Linked DNA regions of Neodiprion lecontei. The protein of the gene in region 1 purifies or fractionates together with the protein of each later gene. This does not show direct contact. Links are inferred from orthologs where the notes say so. Each region holds a gene or a part of one and is shown in the gene's direction. Other genes may lie near its edges.

Region 1 (6,370 bases):
CGACGTACTTGAGACTGTGGCACGAGGAGCAGACGTTCTTATATACTTCCCAACCTCTTCTCAAGCTGAAATTGTTATGAGTGCAAGTTACGTTTCAATCTTCCGACTCTACATATATTTTACACTTCTCCTAGAAGTCCAATTAACATCACATTTGATTCAACGTTACCTGGCATGATCGAAGGAACTTAAATGCCCATAAAAGTCCCAGGCATAATTTGGAGCGTGTAATTCAACGCCCTCAGCTTTCACGGAACTTTCCAAGGCATATACCAAAGCTCCAGCACCGCCTGTCGCAACGCCAAGGCATGCTAGCAACTGCAAATTTCAATAGAAACCACTGCGGTTGGGAATTATTTACACATCGAAATGCGGTGAGAAACACGTAACTGACTAAGATATTAAAATTATTTTTACAAACTGTACGATCGCCCTTCGCGTCAGGTTTTCAAATACCAAAAATGTCCAATTGTCTAGTTTCAGGGATATCATGGGATATCATTAATATCCTGGTATATTTTACTCACGGAGTAAAATAAAATCAAACTTCAGGGATGTCGTCATGAATTTTAGGAACTCTAGAGGTTGGGATAGGGCAGGGAAGGACGTTAGACGCTGTGCATTGTTATGTGACGTACCGTTTTTCGTCCCTTTGCCCAGTCTCGGGCGGTCGAGAAGGTGCTGACCTGCAAGAAGATGAAGGAGATATTTCTTCTCGTTATAATGATAAATTCAGAACTGCATAAAATGTGTCAACAGGCGTACATAACAAGAGGCTGAATGTTGCTCTATTACATAACGTGTATGAAGGGAGAATATATCATTTTAAATGGACACTAAAATTGTCAAAGTATCCTCTGGACCTTTGCTCTGATTAAGTAGTTTGTCAATAAACCGCCAGCTATCTTAGAAACTAACTATAGATGACTCGTAATAACGAACTGACGATTACAGACGGTTAAATTATGATGGTAAAACGTTCAGTCAAAGGTTTGTGAGGAGTGAACTTCCCTCGATAGAGAGACAGTCGTGGCCAATTTGTGACTTTGACAAAAGGAACAGCTCGATCGGAATTATCGCGAATTAAACTCTGAGTAGTAAGCCACGATTTTTCGGGTCAAAATTTACCTACTTGATTAAATAGAGCACCATTACTGGCTTTTAAAAGACCCGAACCGCAAACCCTTCCCAGCGATGCCGCCATCTTAGCTAGAGGTGCAGACTGCAAAAGAACACGAGTCGTTGGATGTACCGTTAATTTGACGAAGATATTTTTTCTGCATACATCCCGAGTATAAATACCGGATAAATGGAGGTTGAAAATATTATTAATTTTCGTTCAAATATCGACTATAATGCTATTCATAATATAATTAAAATCAATTATTGTAAGATTAGGAATATTGCGATGACGTCACGATTCCATGTTAGCCAACGTTATCTAAGCGTTTGTCGAACGGTAAATGTGAGAGTCCTAAATTATTGGAAATCATCTAACGCTGAAAATCCGAACAACGATAGATGCCTGAAACAGATTTATCACCGACGCGTAGCTGACCGGTGAAAAGTTTTGTAATAATTAAAAATTTCAGATTAAGATTAGACCAGATTTTCGAGCAGACGACCGACGCGCGTTCGTATCGTCAAGTTGGCAGCCTTGCGTTCGGGTGTCGTAGATCCTCCGCCATCGCGTACATCGTCCATCGGTGTCAGCTGGCGCGTAGAGCGTATAGAGAGTCAGCAGCGCATAGTTTTTGTGGTATATCGTTTCGCGTTCAGACGGTTGTATGGAGCGGTAGATGCGGACGGTATCGGGTATCTAAGTACATCTCGTTGATCGTTAGTAATACATAAAAGTTTCAAGATGAGTGCCGGAATGCCGGAGCTTGGTTCTAAGATAAGCCTAATATCGAAGGCAGATATTCGTTATGAAGGCCGTTTATTTACCGTCGATCCACAGGAGTGCACGATCGCCTTAGCCAACGGTAAGATGGACTCCTTTCTTTCTCGCATCAACTTTGTTTCCGCCGTTTTCATAGTTTAGCCTAACCGCCCGATGCTCGCAGACGACCAGAACATCTTTTATTACCTTTATTTCCCTGTAATTCAACAACTACTCGATATTCCACAAGTAGCTTTTACATTCTCAACTATTGATACCGGTTGATTATATTCTTTTTTGACAGTTCTTCTGTACTACCTTAACTTATCACTTTTTCATATCATATATTTTTCTCTCATTTCTTTTTATGAAAACAATCCAGGTCACCAGAGTTTACGATCCTGCAATCTCGCGTCGCAATCTTTTGCCTATCTCTCTGTCTTTCTCTCCCCCCCCCCCCCCCTTCCCCCCTCACCCCCTCTCTCTCTTTCTCGTTCTTCCGCTGTGTTATGTATTTCCATTCTTTACGTTGTTATTCCTCTTTCCGAAAATTTGTCGCAGTTACGTTTCATCCGCAATGATTGAAATAACAACAATTTCATTGCGATATTTCAATTAGTTATATCTACTGTAATTTCTCTCTTCTCTTCCCCCCCCCCCCCCCCCCCCCCCCCCCCTTCTATTATTTCACTTCTCCATCATGATATCCTAGTCAAAATTACGTGTATCACCTTCAAACGCTTGTTGTGAAGAATATATTTCAGCACAGTCGTATGATGACGGGCTCTCAGGTTCACCTAAGAGATTGTATTTTGTTTTTGTTTTTGTTTTTTTTTTTCTCCCTCCTTCGAGCGTTCTATCTATTCAAACGAGAACCGTTTGGATTTGAAATATCCGCTCAACGAATTCTGGGATTAACGTAAACGTAAACATAGTTGGAATCGATTTTGTGTATAACGTATCACATCATTGATAATCGTCAATCAATTGTACTTTCTGATTTTCTTACAAAGATATATGTTTTTGCTCGATTATTTTCAAATAACAGTCTTGCATTTTACTCACAAGTTTTCCAATTTCTCTAATATCAATAGAGAGAGTAAAATTCAGACAATGTTCAATAATTTTCATTCATAAATTATCGTTAATGTTATTATTATTATTTTTAAGACACATTCCGACGAGTGCCAAATACTCACTAACGATCGATTACTATTTTTCGTTAAGACTGTTTTTATTCGTTACAGTTCGTTCCTTTGGGACTGAGGATCGAGAAACCCAGTTTCCAGTAGCGCCACAAAACCAAGTCTATGAATACATATTATTTCGAGGATCTGACATTAAAGACATCAGAGTCGTCAACAATGTCAGCACCATTCCAAACGATCCAGCCATTGTCCAGGTAAAATATTGCTGATTCAAAGATCATTTTTGAAATGAATTATTTTGCTTCATCGCTCAATTTTACTAACACTTGTGTAAATTGTCCAGCTTTATTACGGCAGACGCGGCAGCTCGGTTACTTGTTACATAAATATTACCAATTCACAGATGACAGTACAGCCCAACATGGGTCAGCCGTCTTACCAGCCACAGCCAGGATTCAACCATCCGATGATGGGTCAAATCGGACCAATGGGCGGCCAGTACGGAGGCGGATACGCGATGGGTGGAATTGGAGCCATGGGAGCCATGGGTCCAGTTATGGGTATGCCTGCAGCTGGACGAGATCCTCGAGTCGCTATGAACAAACAACCAAGTGAGTTGGGCCTGGGCTCCACTGGAGCACCCAACGTCGTCTCGATCCCAAACTCGATAGCACCGGGCAACGTTGATCAAATTCAAAAAGACCAATCTTTGGAAGATGGTAAACTGTTTTTGCTATGATCTTGCTACCCGGCATGCCTGATGCTTTTCAGCTTGATTTGGTATAATTGTTTATTTATTCTTCACTTTTATCTAACATCTGCTCGCCTCTCGTTGCTTTTTTACTTCAACCAAGAGAAAAAGAGTCAGTCGTGCCTTTTTTATTATGAACGGTTTAACGTGGACCGAAAAATTACGGTTCTTGCTGCAAAAATAACATTACATTAATGCACTTCTGCTTTGGCTGGTCTCTGTACATATTTTCTTGTCTTTCTTTTAAATCTGCTTCTGCGAATAGATGCTTTTTTATTCTACGAATTTTATTACATCTATCTCAACTCGCTACATTTGAGAAATTTCAACTCATTTTTTGCATTTGAAACATGACGCGGATCGTATAAAGAATTATTTATATCAAATTCTCGTTATTTACATGTGCAATGTTTCAGTCATGAGGTGAACTGTACTTTCAAGTTTTGGTATTGTTCAGCTCACTCTTGGAACAGCTTTTAAAACTCCTTAACCAAATCGTATCGATTCAATAGTGCTTTGTCACTGTTCCATTTGACTCTTTTCGTTGCATGTTTAATCTGTTTCTTCTTCAACTAGGAACAGTATAGTTTTGCCTACAAACAAACGAAAGAACAAATATAGCAAAACCAGTTATCATTTACATTATGGTATAAAATACGTGTAACTTTCCTTAATCGATTGCAACTTTACTTGTGCGATCCATCTTTCCATCTATCTCTATCTCTATCCACGTTGTTGGCATGTATTCATTTATTCTCAATTGCAAATTCTTTTAAATGATTTATTTATTTGTTTTTTTCATTTGTCATGTTCCGAAATCTAGCATGAATTTGTAGAAAATCACTATGAGATCATTTTAAAAGAGAGTACACCGATGCTTTAATATAATTGTTCATCTTCCTTGCTACCGTTTCATACAGTTTACCATTTTACCTTCTAAATAACTATTACTAACCATCTCAGCACCGTGTGATAATTGTGACCTTCAATTATAACGTATTACTCAAGATGTAGAACAGTTTCAAAATTTTTGAAACAACATTCACTGTCTGTCTGGTTCTTTTTTTGTCGGAAATCAGCTGAATAATTCTTCAATTATCCGGTGCTGTAGATAACTAAAACTAATTGACAAAAATGCATCTTCTGCGGCTTATTTAATGTGACAGAGCTGCGGAAGATGTAAAAAGTCCAATATCTCATGGCAATACACCAGAATTGTTCAAGGGCATCATTGATCGCATTAGAACAGGATGTCTGTCTTCTCTTGCATTATTGGTAAATTCGTCTGCCTCAAGATTGCCTCAAAAATATTGTTTGTATACGTGTGGAAAGTCAAAGGATAAAACAAAAGTATCCCAATTAAAAAATCGAATTTTCCCCCCTGCTACACAGGTGTGTTGGACTTGATCAGCGGAGGATCTCGATCGACTACTCCCACTTCATCCCTGATGACTAGGAAAAGTCCGACTATGGATCAGGGCACGCAGGTTGGCCATCAACAGCGGTCGACGAACGCCAACATCCACAAACCGATGAGCGACAAGCCCAACGCTAGAACCATACAACCATCTTATCGCGATCGTGAAAGGTTGGTAAAAATATGACTTGTACTTTCATTCTTTAAATATTCTATCATTGCTCATTCATTTTCTTTAACTGTGCAATTTACCTATGTAAATAAACTTTCGCAGTCATGGCAGCGGGCGAACCGGCAGCGGCATGTCCCAGTATAGCGACGGAAAGCGTGACAATCGTGAAAAGCAGGACGGAAATCAACTTCAAGGACACGGACATCCTTCAGGGCCGAATCACGCCCAGATGCATCAGGCGGGACGCGGAAATCGCGGCGGTTGGATAGCTCGAGGAAATATTCGCGGACGAGGAAGGGGACGCGGCGGTGGTGGCGGAGGTACCTTCAGACCCCCGCAGCCAGGAAGCATAAATAACAAGCCGAAGAACATGTTGAAGTTCGAGAATGACTACGACTTCGAACAAGCCAATACGCAGTTCGAAGAGCTAAGGTAGACGCACTTGAACAATACAATTCGCTGTTTTCGAACTAGATATTGAAATGCCCGTTTTTGTAAATACATTCAAGTAATATATTTTAAACCGAGTATATTAAAATTTAAAGGATTTATATTCTCGGTGAGATCTGGTTTGATACATTGCTTATTAACATTTGGACAAATGAGTTGCCATATAATTTATGACGGAGTATGCAGTTTGATTGAAAATTGCAGGTCCCAATTGGCTAAGACTAAGATTGACAACGGTACTGACAATGAGAAAAAAGACGATAGCGGCAATGAAACTGGAGCGGGCGAGGGAGAGCCTGAGGAAGAAACGGACGTCGTACATTACGACAAGTCCAAATCATTCTTTGACAACATTAGTTGCGAAGCTGTAGAGAGGAGTAAAGGGTAAGTTCCGTCACGCATTTTACAAATCGTTATAAAACAACGTTCTTTGCTATTTTGCCAAAAGTAAAAATGTTTCAATAATACGGGAATTGAAATTCTGGAAGAATTTGACGAATTTACTATTCTAACTTATTCAGATTTCTGTCTGTATCTTTTACTTGCAAGT
Region 2 (7,691 bases), on another chromosome or scaffold:
CCCGTGCTTATGACGATTAAAAGTTCCCTGCACTGTGATACGAAGTTTCTAGTGCAGCATCCTCCTTGATCCGCTGTTACTCTATGATTTTGTTTTATCTAATTCGGCCTTTTGATCATTTTTCCATATCAACGCAACTGGCATGGCACCCAGATTCCAAAAAATTCAAGTTCGCGGACCGCACAATGTTTCACGTTTCTGTCTGTCAAATCCGTAATTTTTCGAATTCTTCCAAAATTCAAACGCCACTTTTCAAAGAACAAAAAACAACGATTTTTTGATGCTTTAGCCCCCTTCAATATTCCATGCTCTGGAATAGCTACTCAGCTTTAATTCGTTCCTCGGAAATTTGTCCTTGAATTGCAGCCCTGGTCATAAATTTAGTTTTCTGTCAAACCTTATTCTTCATGCACATGAAAAGTTAAAGAACGGATCAGAAAAGTTTTGCCGAATCCCACGGATTGGATGCCTGTGTAGCAAAATTAGGGATCTGTTTTTTTCACAATTCTTAGTACAAACATAGAAAATTCTTAATCAATACTTTTCAAACAATACCCTATTAAAATACTATCCAGAGTTGTGTCTTTTGAAGATAGCATTTCAACGCAGATTTTATATCAATGAGGATCGGTGGTTCGAATATTGTCCAACCGCTAGAGAGGATATACATGTAAGCAGTAGTTTTAAACTTTAACTATCAGACTAAACGTTTACGGACTAATTGCGAACGAATTTACACTGTCGCTATTTTGAAAAGTAATGTTATCATGCTGCGTCACGCAAACCCTGCTATTACTTCAAGCAGGGTATCGTTGCAGAATGACTTTAAACAAAAACTTTGCGATTGACATTTCAAGACTACTATGGCGAAATATTTAATATCCATAATTTTTTTTATTTCTTGGTTTGCAACCAAAAACACTGATTTCATGTCCTGAGATGCACCTGAATTTTCGATCGGTCGAGCTTGATCGAAAATTCTAATCATGATATCTTAACGGCTAAATCAAACTGGTTTAGCTGATGTCCAAAAGTACTATAAACGATAAAGTAGAGGTTGCTAAATATTCCACTAATAAATATTCGTTCATTATCAGACTTAGGCCTTCAAATAAGCCTGACTGATGGAAATTTTAGATGCATATCTCAAAAAATAGAAACTAAAAAATACAGAATCAAAATTGATGCTGCTGGCTTGCTAAAGCTGTGCATTCATGATTTACCTCTTTGACATTTCTTTTCTTGCATCGTCAACTCATGAATAACTTTACATATTTTCGAGGTGTTAATAATGTATAACTATAATTATTTTGAAGGTGTTAATAATGTACTGTTCAAAAGTGTATCCCAATCAAGTTGCATGTATCGTTCTCAGCTCACATTTGTTTCCACTCAATGAAACAGAAAATAATTATCGTTTTGTTACAGTGGGTATGAAGATTTTTCAAATACGTTCAATGTCCGTAAAAGCTTCACCGATTTTCTGTTATTCTCTACTTACATGTCGACATGTCAACGCTATGGATGCAAATTTTTGAGATATTGTACGTTCTCTCGGTGTGTGTGAGTGGTTAAAACGATATATTCTTATTTTTGGACCGTAAAATAGTTCAGTTGCTGAAAAAGAAGTTTCTGCAGCGACTATATTCTCTATTGATGTAAGCAAAGCTTCGCACTCGCTTGTCCTCCGCTATATGAATTTCGCAATTTTTTTTCTTATGTCAAGGCTTAAGGAAGTTGGTCGGTAAAAAAATTAATGCATTTTATTAATCTTATTATAAGACGGTACGTACATTAAAAATTTATGAAATCGTCTTTTTCAAAATACCAAAATAGATACTGGAATTATGAAAAAAAGTTTAAATATCTATGAAAAGTGTGAGGTTGAAATTAGTAACATTGTAATGAAACATCGGATTGTCCGAAACGTTAATTCATTACAATAACGTTACTAACTTCAAGATCATAAAAAAGTGTGTCAGTGAATTTGTAGAAAATTTAATAGTCCTTTAAATAAAATGAGCCATCATCGAGTGAAATCGAATGAATCTAGTAGATTCGTAACAATTTTGAAGCAATTTGAAACGAAGCATCGATATCTAAGCTCTTGCTTGCAATTCCAGTATTTTCTATTTTTTCATTCTCATAGCGATCTTTCCAGCTTAAGAATATATTAATTTGATCAATACTACATATACGACTACCTCCTAATAAAATTTATAAAAAGTATATGATTTTGACCAACCAACTTTCTTACTTAAGCTGGGTACAATAAGTCGGAAAAGTCGGAGATTCTTTCGTTATCCCGGCGACAAAGCGAAAAACATTTTCTTTCCAAAATTATTCCTTTATCCGCGAACTAAATTCAACCTGGTGATCGCATAAAATATTTGCACACTTCCTAAAACTTATACCCGCCCCGAAGTTTTTACGTCCAACAATCTTTTTTTTTTATTTTTAATTTTTTTTTTTTATTTATTTAGCGAAGTTCAAATTAGTAACGTAATAATCGTAATAAAACACAAAAACAATCTATATTTTGCAGCAGGACAAGGAGTTTGAGAGAAGTTTGCTTTATTACGATTTACTGAATTTTTTAATATTTACATAAAGTTACGAAATAACGATTTTTGACGAAACACACTTCGCTATATTAACGTTACAAACTTTAATCTTACATCCTACTAACGATTGCTCATTCTATGCGGCGCATCCCCTACACTCTGTACTCAATTTCAAGGCTGAAAAACTTATTTTTTGCTCCGAGGGCTGAGTGTACAAGAGAACCAAACCTGTATCTGAATTATACCGTTCTAAGTCAACAATTACAATATACTCAAGGGCGAATTTTGCGCTCTACATGCCTGCAGTTCGAATTGATTTTTGCGCGTCGTTTTTCCAACTGTAGTACATCGCAAGGAAAAATTGAATGTACAAGGCAAACTGCGCAAAAATCATTCTACAAAACCGTGAGCTAATTCTTCAATCCATGAGTAACTAGTATTAGAGGCATATTCTAATTCATCGGATAGACGCCAGAAAAAAAAATTGTATTTAGTTTGTACTGGATTTTACATACATTTCACATACTGGATTACGAATCAGAAATTTAGTCAAAACGGTCTGTCTTCAAGCGTCTCGTACTTTCCGACGACTCTCGAGGATATTGTCCCCAAGTTTGAGCATCCATTTCGGCTACATTGTTCACGTGGTCAGCAAGAAGTCGGGTTTATAGCATGTGTATTGGTGTCCAAATAGTAAACATCGCGGTCGAATTCAAAGGACAACGGTTTAGCAAGTACGGCAGGCAAGAAGCAGTACATGAATTTGTCCGTGGTTGAAAATCGCCAGTTGTCTTTCGAGACGAAATCAGTTAGCGTTGAAAGAGTCGATCGCATCTTCTAATCGTTAAATCCGTATTTCACCCGTTCGATTCAGCTACTTTTGTTTACGTGTTCAAAAATATTGCTTATTCCGTTGCAAAATGAAGCTGGAAAATAACGAAATCAGCGCCGGTTCAACTTATCGATACCGGCGTCCGCGTCGTCGCCCGCTTGTTGGGCCGACGGGTTCGTGTATTCTTGATTCTCTGGTTATCCAGAATCAAGGAGTTCGATGGTCTCGTCGCAACCGTGCTTCCAATCCCGTAAAAAGAGTTACTTTTCGTGAGTATCACTTGGCTATCAGAGTTTCAAATTTTCTTTTTCATTAAGGGGGTACCCTGGTCGATTTCGACGTTGTCGTATATATGCATCTCCAAATATCGAAGTCCACGTATCTCAAACGCAAAAAAGGACATCATCCTTTCAGTTGCACATTTTTCAACTCAATATTTCAGCCTGAATTTTGTGACATGGGGGTTTTTCAGGTTGCTAATTACGAATCTGAAATCAGAATTCAATCATTTCTAAATCCAATATAACGGATGTAAAATCTAATAAAAACTATAAAAATTCGATGATTCTGGTCCAAACTTGTTACTCGAGGATTTTGGTGTTATATATACGTAACAACGATCATTTGATGTTTTAAATAAACTGCGATAAGGCTAGGAAATGGAAATGTTGAGGTGAGACGCTGAGCATCTGTGACTGAAAGGGTTAATCCTTTCCGGTTTCTCTTCTAGTTTTGTTTCATCATCATTACAGTTTTGTTGTAATTCGCTAGGGCAATTTCTCCTTATTGCTAAAGACGAATACGCCTACATTACATTCAAAATGCTTCGTGTACAGGCTTTGCGCGGACAATGTATTATGATTTATTTGCGGATACTAGTTCAGTGTCACGATCGGTGTTGTTTGATCTCAATATTGACATACAACGATACGTACATTGTACATATACCGCGAAAATATGGCGAAGCCGGCAACTCGTCGACCGAGACGAGGTGACTCCGTGTATTGCGGCAACCATGGCGGAATGGCCTTTTCTCACCGCGAAGACAGTGAAGTTAGTAACGTTAATGTAACGATTAATTTTTAGGAAAAATCATTATTTCGCAACTGTAGGATCGTCTCAAATTGACTAAGCTATTTTTAAAAAGCCAAATGTATTCTGATTATGGAAATTAAATTCCTTTAAAGTCGTTTTAAATTTTCAGAACAATAGTTTTAGTTTCAATATTTCGTTACTTTAACGCTACTAACTTCAATCTGATTCATTGCGAGAGTGTCAGGTATCCGCTTTACCGATCCGCTAACTTGCAGACAGCTTTTTAGCCTCAATTATCTCGATCTGGTTGCAATTTGGATGATTTAGAAAGTCCAATTTTCAAGCCCTTGTACGTCAAATGTTTACGAGTTACGATCAATTTTATCACGGTTTCGAATTTTTTGTACTTGTTGGAAAACATTTGATCTCTCCGAATATAAAATACATTTGAAGGCATGAGAAATTCAGGAATTGCCAAAAACAATATATGTTTCCCGACATTTTCAGTCCTGTATATGCGAAGAGGGTAAAAATAAACTGTATTTATTTTTCCGTGTAATATAATGGACGTTTTGTAGTATATCCTGGAATTTTGAGAGTAAACTGAAAATGGGATTATATTTATAATCGATATAAATGTACCAGGGACATATAAGGTGTTTAGAAAATTCAAGATCCTTGGAATATTGACATTTATTTTAACTCGGAACCCATTTTCATCCCACATTAAAAACTTCAGGATACCGTCTAAAATATCTAATTCTTCGATCAAAAGAATGAAAACAATTAATTTCCTAGACTTATTTTTGCATGAAACGGCATAAAAGGGCTCTGCTGCTTTCTTGCGATTGTAATGCATAAGCGTTGGTAACATTTAAATTAAGCGAAATTTTACTCGGTCGGTACAGACTGATTATAGCATCGTCTTAAAGGCTAAAAATTGAACGATTTTCATAATTAATTGTAAGTGTACACTATGAGGTACTGAAGTACAGTCAGAGCTAATATTTTGCCCTCAAAAACTGGCACATATCTTAAATCTGCCAACAGAGAGACTGAGGCAACCCATAGTTTCTGATTCTGGATGTGGGGTTATGTCTCCGGACCCCATCTTTTGCACTCTGGTTTACGTTTTTCGGTAGCAATACTGTCACATATATAATTGGTCTTATCATCATCGTTTATATGGCATCTATGTGACTTACAAAATGACAGCTCATTTATACATTTGTACATGTATCATGCATGCGATGGTTTAACAATAATTTCATAATCATAATAAGTACTAACATTAACCTGAAGTTCAAAAATTCCTCACTCTTATCATTTTTAAGATCCTTGCTGTGAAATATAACTATTCAAATAACTCGTAACTAGATAATTCATTTCACATCATTTATTGTGCGATTTTCCAAACCCAGTAATATGAATTGATAATAATAAGAATTATATCTGTGTTTGTTGCGTATATATGTATAATAAACTGAATTTCATACATTTTAGTTTTTTGAATGATGTTGAAAATTGAAAATATTGCTGCAGGAGATGAAGCGATAATATCGATGTCTGTGGCAGGCGAAGTGACTGATACTTCTATTGTGGAAGTGGGCAGATCTCGACCTCAGTTTCAATATACTCGGGTAAGCGAAAGATGTATTACTATTAATTTTAGGTAATGGTCAGATCTTTCACTAATTCAATTCATGATATAATAATCATTGTGACTTTCCATCCATAGGAGGAACTGATGGAAATGAAGACTCAACCTCTATCCAAGCGTAGGCCAGATTGTTTGGATTCCGCTTATAATAAGTGCGTTTATATTTGTGTATATTTTATTTATTGAAGTTCCATAATTATTTGGTATATTTGTTATATCTAAATTACAATTGTTTTTCCATCCAGTTCGCGAGGCGTTTGGGACCCTGAGCGTTGGCATCTTGATAGAAAGCGAAGTGAAACTCCTCCTGACGATGACAGAAATGGACGCGGGGATCAAGTGATTGAAAATCATAGTAAACGTCGCAGCGGTGATTTTCGGGAACGAATCCGTAAAGAGTCGGATGGCATAGTGCTGAGTCCTCAACGCCGAAATTTTAACTCTGGATGCTTTGTCAATGTAAGCCAGCTGCCAACTCGGCGTCCAGAGAGCCCAATCAGCAAACCAGAGGCGAGTAACTGGAAATTGTGGTTCAAAATAATATTCAGGGTGTATATCACATAAAAAATCTGGAATTAACCCATTATGTTTCTTCCTTTTGATGGTTCTGTATGCACCCTGAATATTAAACTTGAAAGACATTCGATGCGAAATATACTTTATAAATACATAGATAAATGAATATCTTTATGTATACAGCAGGTTGGGCATCGGGAACAAGTGCGTCGTATAGGTTCTGGTCGCATACTGACGCGAGACGTCTGGGACTTCAGACCTGATACAGAGAAACTTGAGCCTGATCGCCCGGAATTTAGCTTCAGATCTGGAGCAACAGGTGGAGCACCACTTCGAGACAGAGATGTCAGGGACACTCGCGATGTGGGAAGGGATCGCGAAGGACTTAGAGACAGAGACCGAGATCGTGATAATATCAGGGAACGAGATGAAAGATTTGAAAGGCGTTCATTTACCAGAGACTTTGGTGATCGTGACCGAGATCGTGAACGTGACCGGATGGACAGAAGTGATCGACACGATCGCAGTCACCAGATGGATCGCGACAAGGATCGTGGTCGTGACAGAAGGTTTGGAAATGACCGAAGGCGAACTTACAGCGACAATAGAGAAATCGACGAACCAGAGTGGTTTAGTTCAGGGCCGACATCTCAGCACGACACCATCGAACTTCGTGGTTTCGAAGATATCCCTGAAGATAGAGCGCTCAACAATAACAATATGAAAGGTAAAAAGCAGTCACCTGCTCAGAAGAAACGGAGCAAGAAAAACTCGTTGGACAAAGATGACAAACAAAATGATAACACATCTGGGCCCAAGGGACGCAGCACACCCACACTAACCGATCAGCCAGCCAATTTAGCTCCAGCTCCACATTCGCCGATATCTGAACAAAACGATCTCTTGTCTTCCCCCGATTCTAAAGAGAAGCCTGACGCAGGGCAGAACTCAATTGCTACATCAAAATCGGCTAACGACAGTGGAGATGCTAACATGGCACAGACTAATAACCATCCAGATTTTAATCTCGATGATTTTCTCAAGTCTGACACCTTCCCTGGGGTTCATGGTCTTTTGACTGTAA

Evidence for each region. Proteins that work in one complex are often made in the same cells at the same time.
Region 2: the proteins of protein LSM14 homolog B (region 1) and eukaryotic translation initiation factor 4E transporter purify together in Homo sapiens (affinity purification with mass spectrometry; 3 studies listed by BioGRID and IntAct, with this or other methods). This does not show direct contact. The link is inferred for Neodiprion lecontei from reciprocal best matches to the Homo sapiens genes LSM14A and EIF4ENIF1.

Annotation. Positions count from the first base shown.
Region 1 is NC_060266.1:24,400,322-24,406,691, reverse strand, and holds the start of protein LSM14 homolog B, read left to right. Parts: upstream 1-1,680; 5' UTR 1,681-1,864; coding exon 1,865-1,985; intron 1,986-3,129; coding exon 3,130-3,284; intron 3,285-3,433; coding exon 3,434-3,749; intron 3,750-5,173; coding exon 5,174-5,369; intron 5,370-5,472; coding exon 5,473-5,802; intron 5,803-6,006; coding exon 6,007-6,204; intron 6,205-6,370. Other genes in the region: cytochrome c1, heme protein, mitochondrial, read right to left, coding at 1-65, 170-318, 639-686, 1,133-1,204. UniProt on the Homo sapiens protein: Essential for formation of P-bodies, cytoplasmic structures that provide storage sites for translationally inactive mRNAs and protect them from degradation. Acts as a repressor of mRNA translation. May play a role in mitotic spindle assembly.
Region 2 is NC_060261.1:14,469,120-14,476,810, reverse strand, and holds the start of eukaryotic translation initiation factor 4E transporter, read left to right. Parts: upstream 1-3,310; 5' UTR 3,311-3,484; coding exon 3,485-3,665; intron 3,666-5,973; coding exon 5,974-6,071; intron 6,072-6,169; coding exon 6,170-6,243; intron 6,244-6,336; coding exon 6,337-6,601; intron 6,602-6,790; coding exon 6,791-7,687; intron 7,688-7,691. UniProt on the Homo sapiens protein: EIF4E-binding protein that regulates translation and stability of mRNAs in processing bodies (P-bodies). Plays a key role in P-bodies to coordinate the storage of translationally inactive mRNAs in the cytoplasm and prevent their degradation.